Linked DNA regions of Oryzias latipes. Each later gene encodes a partner of the first gene's protein in a complex. Links are inferred from orthologs where the notes say so. Each region holds a gene or a part of one and is shown on either strand. Other genes may lie near its edges.

What was found.
Region 2: trappc8 (region 1) and trappc11 share a complex: the UniProt entries of both Homo sapiens proteins name them as parts of the multisubunit TRAPP (transport protein particle) complex. The link is inferred for Oryzias latipes from reciprocal best matches to the Homo sapiens genes TRAPPC8 and TRAPPC11.

What each region holds. Positions count from the first base shown.
Region 1 is NC_019862.2:1,547,793-1,553,167, forward strand, and holds part of trappc8 (trafficking protein particle complex subunit 8), read left to right. Parts: intron 1-178; coding exon 179-335; intron 336-3,001; coding exon 3,002-3,098; intron 3,099-4,096; coding exon 4,097-4,165; intron 4,166-4,245; coding exon 4,246-4,304; intron 4,305-4,785; coding exon 4,786-4,983; intron 4,984-5,375. UniProt on the Homo sapiens protein: Plays a role in endoplasmic reticulum to Golgi apparatus trafficking at a very early stage. Maintains together with TBC1D14 the cycling pool of ATG9 required for initiation of autophagy. Involved in collagen secretion.
Region 2 is NC_019868.2:27,372,434-27,377,808, forward strand, and holds part of trappc11 (trafficking protein particle complex subunit 11), read left to right. Parts: intron 1-1,578; coding exon 1,579-1,649; intron 1,650-1,731; coding exon 1,732-1,846; intron 1,847-1,926; coding exon 1,927-2,026; intron 2,027-2,096; coding exon 2,097-2,170; intron 2,171-3,365; coding exon 3,366-3,462; intron 3,463-4,010; coding exon 4,011-4,144; intron 4,145-4,876; coding exon 4,877-5,018; intron 5,019-5,202; coding exon 5,203-5,296; intron 5,297-5,375. UniProt on the Homo sapiens protein: Involved in endoplasmic reticulum to Golgi apparatus trafficking at a very early stage.

The sequences.
Region 1 (5,375 bases):
ACCCCCTTTAGCCATTCTAAATGATCATTTAGCAGCAGCAGGTTCATCTGTAGCAGCAAAAAACAGCACCATGTTCTAATGTATTAAGTTCTGTAAGGAATGGTAGTGCCTAACAAACCATGACGTGACAGACGTACGAACCCGTGACGGTTATGTTCTCTTGTCTGTTCATGGGAAGCCACCGCGTGTTGCGTCACACGGTCTTCATCTGTGCCAGTCGGTCTCTGAGCGTTCAGGCTTCGGCATGTCGCAGCACCGCTCCACCGCAACGGTCTGCAGACAGCATGGGCTGTGACGGAACGCTGGTCTTTGTAGACGTGGAGAATGTCAACACGGTGAGTGACCTTTGTTTGGCTGCCAGGCAGTGTTTTGTTTCTTTATTCAAATTTGGTGGGAAAAACAAGAACAAAGGCTGACCAAATAGATAGAGAATTATAAAATGGATTAAGTTATACAATCTTTAAATATCTTAAGACAAATACTTTTATTACTAATCATTGTATACAATCCTTTTCTTAGTACATATTAAATTAGTTTAACTTTACAGGGGGGTATTCCAGGAAGCATGTTTAAACTAGCCTGACTTTAAGCCTGAACTCTGGCTGAAGTCCGCCTGAACTTGCTTACTCTGGGTATGTCGGTTCCAAAAGACCGGATATGAGTTGGCGTAATTACGCTCGACTTGGTAACCCTGGGTTAACGCACGGTACATAAAGACATTCTCAATAGATCGCCGATTTCTGGAGTCGCCATGGAAACGCGTGGAGAGAAAAAAAGAAAGCGCTATACTTCAGTGAGACGGAGTGTGAGCTTTTAATGACGGCGGATAAAGATTATAAGTCCATCAAAAAAGTGACACGGCTGAAAAATAATTTAAATAATTAAGTTAAATTTATTCAAACTCAATAATTGTTTATACAACTCAAATTTATGTATTTATCTAACTAAATGTCACATTACTCCATTAATCTTTTTTCCATCTTAATTACTTATATTTCTTGAACTCACATATTTTTAAGTTTGAGCCGGCAGATATGCTCATTTTTATAAAAATAAAAAGAACGGGAAAAAATGCACGGAGTGCAAAAATTCATTAAAGAATTTTCCTTCACTGTAATAATCATTGTAGTTGGTAGGGGTGCTATATAAACTCATCATCCTATCCTTTACTCTCACTCATGGTGCAGAGACGTAAGCATAGTAGGACAAAATAGCTCGGCAAAACACGGTGAAACACAGTAAAACAGCTAAACAACTAAACACATTTTGTAAAAAAGCCACACTTAAACCCAAATCCGTCCAGACAGGCAAAGGGAATGATATCCCAGAATCCCTTGCGGTGCCGATCTAACAGCAGCATCAAAGTTACACCTACTTAATTGAATTAATTTGAACGAAAGGAAAATAATTGTCTGAAAACTACGTGTTATTTTTAAGGTGACCTAACAAAAAATGATTTATCTTAACTGAAGCAAATAATTAAGTTAGATCAAAGTAAAAAAGTTTATCTTTCCAACATCCATATGTGGTCTTATCACCCTCTCATGGTGGAAAAAGTATTATCTGAGCTTCTTCATCCACTAAATCATCTTCAAATGGACACGCCATGCTGCTTCACCTCTCTGTAAACAAACTAACCTTCAACTAAACCTGCTCCGGACCAGGTTATGTTCAGAGCATGAGTTGCTATGGCAACTTGACATACCCTGAAACATACCTCCATTTCTGGAACCGAAAGCTGAGGTTATCAACTTCCTTAGCCTCAAACTTATCGTGGGAGCTAGCATAACCTGCTCTCTGGAATACCCCCCAGACTGCACTGATTGTTTTTTTCCCTGTTATTAACTACCAGGCCTAGCATAGACTGTAGAAACAATGGATGAATCGAAGGGTGACGTCACCCATAGAAATTGCCTTACCTCCAGCTCTTGTGAAATGAGGCTAAATCTCTCACCAATACTTCCTGATACGGACGCCGCAATGTTGAAACCAGTTGTCAGTGATTGGTCCGAGTTGTTTTGAGTCATAGCTCAGTCATCGTGAGCGTGTTGTGAGTGCTTACCTCTTTCCACGCCTCCACCTCTTCAACGCAGGTCATTAGCTCCGTTTTCATTACACATATGCTCCAAACGTTATGGAAACTCTAGAAATGTCAAAAAGAAAACACAATTTCGCTATTACACACAAACCAACTCATGGGATGACTGAGTAGAGATAAATTTCCAAGAAATGGAGGCTTTCATAAGGCATAATAAGCTGTGAATGAGAACATCAAATTCACAAAAATTCAAAGTCATTTCTGCAATAGTTGCTGTCATATCTATTGTATTTTTGTCTATATTACACTGGCAACATGTAAGGTGTAATGTGAGGGTCGTGCTTATTGTCTGTCGAAATTCCTTCAGCAGAGTTTGGTAACAGTGCAGGACTTCTTCAGGGTTTGTAACTACAAGAAAAATCACAATACAAGCTCAAATGAACATAAAAAGGATGACGACTTTTATGAAGTACAAAATATATGAAAAATATGAAGTACCACAAAAGACACCTTTGCACAACATGTAAATACCCAGTAAGTATATTATAAATACCCAGTATGTAACACATAAGTATGTACCAAATAGTACCACTTAAATACACTGCAAGTACCATGTAAGTACCAAGAAGACACAAAAAATACCATGTAGGTACCCAGTAAATTCCATAAAAAGTCCCATATAAATACCCTGAAAGTACCCAATAGTTACACAATAAGTACCATGTAAATACCACTTACATTTTGGGCTTGATCCTCTGGTACAACAGAAAATGCTGTATAGCTGTGGCCCAAAGATGGTGCAGAGCAGCCAGGGAGCAATGGGGTGCTGAAAGTTAAGCAATCAGTAAATCCTTAAGAGCCTTCAGTTTCACCAATCCACCACCAATCCATCTGAGTGCAACTGCTATCAGATCATACTGCCGATAATAATACTGTGGTGCTGTCTCTTCTGCCTCCTCACAGAGTGAAGGAGGCATGCGGGAGTTTCACATTGTCCAGGTGTCCAGCAGCAGTCAGCGCTGGCGCCTTCACAAGTACATCAACCCTGACAAGGACAATGGTGCGTCTGCACACACCTTATGCCAGCAAGTCTATAAACTTTGGGGAGTGCTAGCACACCTGAGAGCTGCAGAGCGAGCGACCATTACGACTATTTCAGCTTTCTAATGTTCCAGAATACCACTTTCACCTGAAAGTCACCAGAACGACCTGCACCAAGATGTTGTGATTTGGTTATAATTGTAAGCAGGGCTCCAAATTAACTTCTTTTGTTACTAGTCAAATTAGACTTCTAGTAGCCAAACATTTCTCTGTAAAAATAATGGATGTATTTGAAAGCAGAACTGTTCTTCCCTTCATTTATAAAGTTTCAGTTGATGATTATTCTCTTACAAAAACAAACACTAATAATAATTGAAAGTGTCATCTTAATTTAGAGCCACGATGCTTTGTATCTAGATACTTGAAGGTGAAGCAAATGTAAGTTAGCTAAACCTTCGCTTTGCAAATGGGCTTTGCAATGATGAAGATTCAGTTCATTTCATGAATAGATGCTCAGAACGGCTTAGGTTTTGGTTAATGTTGAACCCTGCTACGTTTGACCTTTGTCACAGAGGGGTTGGTATTTGATAAATATGTGGAAGATTCACTTCTAACTCTACATGGAGCCACCATTACTGAAAATCATACATGGGGATCCAATCTGGTGTCTGCCTTTTCCACATTCTTCCTGAGATCCAGAGCTCAAGCACATGTGTCTTAAGTGAGTGCACTATCACTGCTGGAGAGCACTGGGGTGTGATGTCATTGTACTTAGCAGCACATCATTTTTGACTCTCCTCTGTATGGTAATGGATACCAGACTAACACCACAGCATGTGAAGCTCCTCCTGTCAAGCTTTAGACGAAGCAGTTTGAGCTTCACACCAAACCTCTATCTTAATTTCTGCATCCGTGGATTTGTGGGGACCGGTAGAAAGGAAGTCTTATTGTCATGGCTCCACTACATCCCCTAGTGCAGGGCTCCCAGTCTCAGCATGTGTTCTTCATCTCCCATAGACTGTAAGCTGAGCAGCAGAGAGAAGGCCAAGCTTTGCTTCAGAGCCACGCCATGTGCCCCCCTCCCAGGTAGGCACTGTTACCCGTCAGGGTGTACTCCTGGCTGTACGGTAGCCTTCAGGCTCACAAGTATCTTCTGGTTTTTCCAGCTTCCATGGACTCTGTGGAGAAATACATCTTTGCAGATCTGAATCTTGGAAATGAACAGGTACATGTTTTACTTTAGAATAATCCCAGCACACACCTGCTGCAGAACAACCTTTGCTTTATGGAAGTCATTCATCAGTAAAGAGTAACACCAGCTTCCTCTACAACCCTGTGGCTAAAGATGCATTTTGCCTTAATTTTTAATAGATTGACTATTGAATGGTGAGGAGCATGTTTGCAATGCTTATGATGTCTGAAGTCTAAAGTCGAATTTCCCAAATGCACATGCAAATGCGTGCATGCACGCAAACATGCATGCACGCATTATGTCTTGTGTGCAGTTTATTTGGACTTGTGTAGTGTTGTTTCCAGGACTGCCTTGTTTCTCAAAGAAACAAATTAAACATTTCTGCTGGTGTCAAAGGTCAGGGTCCTCCCCCAGGACAGTGACTGCACACAATGGAGGCTCACATGGTGCTTACAGTCGGTCAGGAGATGATTCATGTGCTGGAGTCTTAGCCGTCCTCTCTGTCTCCATGCAGATCATCAGCTCCTCCACCCCCTGCAGAGATTTCTTCTTTCGCTGCTGTCGAGGCCTTGAGCTTCAGCAAGGAGAGAAGACATCCAGGATGGGGTCCAAAAACAAAACTGTCTCTACGCCTGACAACTGTACCTCTGATCCTGCAGCCATTGCTAAGAAATGCAATGAGCTGGATCTAACCATCATCGTCATCTGGAAGGTAGGTCTTTTCCAGACAAAAACTCTAGATGTTATGACATAGTGCTTGGCAATAAGTTGATTTTTATCAAGTCATTCAAATTTGTTGTTTTAGAGCAGGGGTGGGCAGGCGGGGGCGCGCAGAGGGAAAGGCAGTGACACTGTGACAACACTTAGTACTTGATCTGTCCTCTGTTTGCATCCTTGGGATTTGTGACAATCTCCTCTCACAATGAGCTTTTCCCCCTATGGGATCATGAGGAAATGGTCCAATCACGAAGCACTGCTGCTGTGACCCCGCCCACCTCTAAAAATGCTGACACTTTTCTGCATCAGCCATCATGAACGGGTGATTTAAATTCATGCGCATTGTAGGAAAAAAACGCTGTGAAATGAAAACGTGAGATTGGCCCA
Region 2 (5,375 bases), on another chromosome or scaffold:
TCGTCCGCAGAAGGCATCAACCGTTCCAAGACGCCAGTCCAACGCAAAAACGACAGGAGTGCAAAAACCATTTCCCCCTCAGACCAACGCACAACCAAAATACTTTTAGCTTTACTCACTACACGCTTTATCCACAGACTTGAACATTTTCACACTTTTCTCTCTTCTTTAAACTCTCAGAGGTCAAACCTTCATAGAAAAATAAGTCCAGGATTGTAAAATTTGAAGAGCTGCATGCATTCTGTACAGGAGACATGGCGTGGAGGAGGTTGATTGACAGTGGTCTAAAACGTATGTACAAAGTCTGGCCCGTGGGCCAAACGCAGCCCGCATTCAAGTTTCTACCGGCCCGCAGGCTCCTACCATAGAATCAATCATATCTGGCCCCCAGGACTTTGTAAGATTTGCAGTTCTTGGATGTGTTTGGCCAAATTACAGTATTTTCCGGACTATAAGTCGCCCTTTTTTTCATAGTTTGGCAAGGGGTGTGACTTGTACTCCGGAGCGACTTATAGTCCGGAAAATACAGTATGTAATAAGTCGTTGTAAACATGTGGCAACAACCTGTGGTTGCTAGATCTTAAGGGCCAAACAAGAAAAACAGATTTGTTTTTTTCTGCGGTCAAAATGGGATCACTTTTTTGTGTTACTCACTTGTCCACATGCTTTAAATGTAAAAGTTGACCGTGAGCTTCAGTCGATAATGTGTAACTTATCACATGAGCCCAGATTTTACATTGACTTTTTGTTTTCCAGACAGACTTTTTTCTTTATTTTACTTCTGGCTCACAAATTAAAAACTGCATTTTTGGTAAAAATGAATTCAGATCTATTCTGCTCTATGGGAAGAAATGAAAAGTATCCCTTTGTTAAAAAAAACCCCTAAATAGTTCATTTAGATTTCATGTTATACGAGCTCACACAAAACGGGCTGAATGGTCGATCGGCCCTCACACACTAAATTTGACCCTCTTTGCAAAATGTTTGGACACCTTCGGTCTACAGCCAATCAGGATGCAGAACCCACTGCACTGTAAATAAAATATAAAACTAAAACCATGCAAAATTGCACTAAATAATAGCAAAAACGGTGAACCACGGTAGAGTAAGGCAACACTGTAGTTTAATAAAAATTGTCCTCATTAGAGTACTTTCACTCAAGTAGATGTGACGACAAACCAGTATTCTGACTTAGTTGCATTGGTTTTTAATCTGTCTAATTTACTCTTTTTGTTTTAAACTTTTGTATTATTAGTTGTAGCAATACACAATGAAATGTCTGCGCTAATAGCTAAACATTGGCATGAATCATTGTAAAATAATTCGGCTTTAACTGTAAAACCCCAGTGAAGACTTCAATGCAGCAGACTTTCATAGGGTTGGGGTGTGGAGGGATGCTCAGATCCCAGAGGGAAACAGCGGCTGTCATTTTTGTGACATATGACCTTTACAATTTGGTTTAAATGGTGCATTAGTGAACTGTTGTTGCACTCACTGCTTAGCAGTGTGCAGCCAAGAACATCACCAACCAAACAATTGAAGTTAAACGTGGAGTTGATGGCTTTTGTTTGCCTGTAGGACCAGTCTGCAGGGCCGGAACGCCAAGGTGGCCGTGGTTTTAATCCAAAAGAAAACTCCTTTACCTCCAGGTAAGGCCTGGATATCATTTCACAGTGTTTTCTATGGCTTTTAAGGTGAAGCCAAATGTTTATCCTGATTTGTTTTGTGCAGGTGAGGACCTGGTAGCATCAGAGAGAGCACAAGCTCTGTGCACCGCCTGTGATTTGTCCGGCAAGAGCCTCTTCGTTCTGCCGCACACCGACCATTTAGTGGGCTACATTATCAGGTACCTGTCCCAACCGAAAGGGTCTTGGTTTGATAGATAAATGCAGAAACATGACCTGACGCTGCCTTTTGATGATGAAGGTTGGAAAATGCCTTCTATGAGCACGCTCAGACGTACTACTACACAGAGATCCGTCGGGTAAAGTCACACAAGGAGTTCCTCAACAAAACAACGCACCAGGTGTGAACTGTTGACCGAAAAATAATTTCACCTGAACTTCTACCGAAACCAACCGCTTTGTCTGTTCCAGCTCCTGTTTGTCAGGCACCAGTTTAAAATCGCCTTCTTCAGCGAGCTCAAGCAGGACACCCAGAATGCTCTGAAGTGAGTGTGAGCCGAGGGATCTGTGTGGACGTGGAGAACAACAACTGTCACACGCTTTCAGTCACGACATGCAGCCACTGAATCCGTCCATTCACACAGCTGTTTATTCGCTGCTGTTTGTGTCATATAAAGAATCTTTCTACGGCTTAACTCCTTCACATATGTAGTAACATCCACATCTGATCTGGATTCTGGATCATAGGTCACAGAAGTCTGTCTAGCTGTCAGTGAAATTTCTTCTGTCTAATCCAGCTCTTTAACCAGAGAGGTTTTGGGATTAGAACCCAAAACCTACCAGTCCCGGGGCGGACACTCTACCACTAAACCACAATCCTCATAATCTCCTTATTAATGCTTTTCTAAATTACGTTAGTTTCACTGACGGTTCATTTTGTTTCATTTACAGGCTCCGGTTTATTTAAACTAATTGACCCACAACAAATGAAAATGCTGTTTTTGATGTTTTTAACAGGTTCTTGTGGCATTTTTCTCATGATGGAGGACATTTAGAAGGAAAATTCATCTTAAAATAGCTTCTTCTTTTTTTTTTTCCAAATGAAATTTTAGCGAATCAGGAACAGACCAAAAAAATGCAGTTTGGAAGTTTGGTTTGTTGCGTAGAAAATATGCCAGGCGGGCCACAAGCTCAGGAACGGGGAGTGGATGGGGGGCGGGATGGCTCCGAGCCAGTGGTCCCGCCCACAACTCGGTGGCGAATTTCTAATGAACTCCTGCCGCTATGCTGAAAATATATTCTAGAAATCAACAGTTCTTGGCTAAAAATAGCATAATCCTAATTAAAAGACCACTGGAAACGCTTTGAAAATAGATCAGAAGATGATCGGAGTGGAACTTTAAACCAAAGTGAAACCAGACCTCTGATGCTGTTTTTGAGGTTATTCCAACTGTTTTAATTTTTAGTTTAACGTGGTGTCATATGGCAGTAATAAAAAAAAATATATATATATATTTGTTCTGAAGCCAAAGTTGCTCATTTAAAAAGACGGTTCAAGACTGGAAAAGCAGCACTGAGAAGACACAAGGAAGGCGTTTTCATTTCAGGTTCTCATAAAAACCCCAAAACAGTCAAATCTCAAAAATAAAATTCACAGCATAACATAGCTGGGAGTTAATGTTCATCCTCACCAAGTCTTTGCCACTTTGTGATTGACTTCTGTAACTGTTGTGGCTGCAGATACTACAGAACGGCGTACAGTCTGGTTCATGAGCTCAGGGCGCATGAGACCAACATGCTGGAGATCAAAACCATGGCTGGATTCATCAACTATAAGGTAAATCGTCTGCGGGGTTGGCATTGGTTTAAAAGAAAAAGGGCAACTTTAGCCCTATGGGATAAGTGTATCTTTAGGGTTAGGGGTTAAGGGTTAGGGTTAGGGGTTAGTTTCTATGGCGACCACCATCTCCAATCAGGAGTGAGATTGTTGGAAGTCAACACCCCTTCCACTTGAAAGTGGGCAACACCAAATCATTCTAACTCTTCGAATACTGGCCGAAGGGATCAGCAGGCTCCGCCTACTGATTGGCCTGTTTATGATTTGAAAAATTTGAGCTACAGAAAAAAAAATCAAATAAAAAAAAATGGTGATTATCAAGGATAATGTAAAAAAAAATGATCAGAGCAAGAATTGTTATTCTGACCAATAGAATGACGGAGAAATAGCTGTCACAAGATTTTGGCTTCATGGAGCCAGCGGGTACTTCCTGTTTAGAGAACGCCTGGGCCCAGGGGGTCACTCAGTCCAGTTCCCATATACAGTCAGTGATGAAGGCTTCACCAGTCTGACCCCATTTCCTTTCCCCCTCTGTGTTTGTGTTGCAGATCTGCCGCCTGTGTTTCCAGCACAACACTCCTCTGGATGCTATAGCTCAGTTCAGGAAACACATGGACCAGTGCAAGAAGAAGATCGGCTGTGCCGAGCTGGCCTTCGAGCACTCTGCCTGGATGTCCAAACAGTAAGAAGAAAACACTGGCTACACAGTGGGGAAAGTCTGCGCTTTAACTCCACAGTGTTCTTTCAACCACCGCAACTCTTCAACCGTTCATGCAATGAACGCCATTCTGAAGCAGAGGAGAGCACCGATGTTCAACACTTAACACCACCACTGTGTTAGTAATGTGTTGCAGATCAGTGCAAAGCTGACATGAAAAGCCACTTTATTCTTCAGCGTCAGAATCAGCCGATTCACCTTCATCGCATAAACGGTCGAAGAGTTCCAATAGACTGTGTGTTAACCGTGTTAAAGGGTTATTTTGAAGTGATCAAAGTAAAACGGTTGTGCAATTTTTTAGCGGCGGGAATCATTAAATATTAGTGTGCAAGATTTAGTTTCACTTGTTAATTGGATGCATCATTTTGGAGAAAGCATCAGATTACTGTTGAACCAGACGGATGGATGGCATCTTTAATTCAATAGCAGCCAGATGCTAGCATTGAGCAACACTTGCACATAGAAAAAATTGAGTAAAAACACAAGAAAACATTCAAAAATTGAAATTCGATGAGTTTTTCTTATGCTCTGTCGTGGAGTTTTACTGTCAAACAGTATTAGCAATTTTAAAAAAAATCAGAATTTTGGCTTCAAGATCGTTTTCTGAGCGTTTTTGTTCAGTGTTTTCCTTTACATCTACTCTCTTCTAAGGATTTCTGAGATCTTGACCGACTCCTGCACTTTATTTCCCACCAGGTTCCAGTCGTTTGGTGAGCTGTTCGACGAGGCCATAAAGCTGGGTCTGACAGCCATCCAGACCCAGAACCCTGGTTTCTACTACCAGCAGGCTGCCTGTTACACTCAGGACAGGAAGCAGCTGGCTCACCAGCTCTGTCAGGTGACGCGTTTACCCACAAAAACAAGCACTTCCTGTGTCACGATCATATTATAAATGAGCTGCAAACGCATCATAAATTCAGCCTTAGAATGTAGATTTTGTACGGAGATGTCGCAACACTTTTCACATGTGAAATTCATTTTAAGATCATATCTCCATTAGTTAAACTGCTTGATCCTTAAAGGCTGGAGCAAGTTATCCTTCTCCCGACCCACTGGACACCCAGAGCGGAGGGCTGGACTTCTACGGCCAGCGGCCCTGGAGACAAGGACATCAGAGTACGAGCGAGCATTTTCTCATGCAGAATGATCCATAAAGTCAAATCTTTTGCTGGGAAGTACAAACCTTCACTCGCTT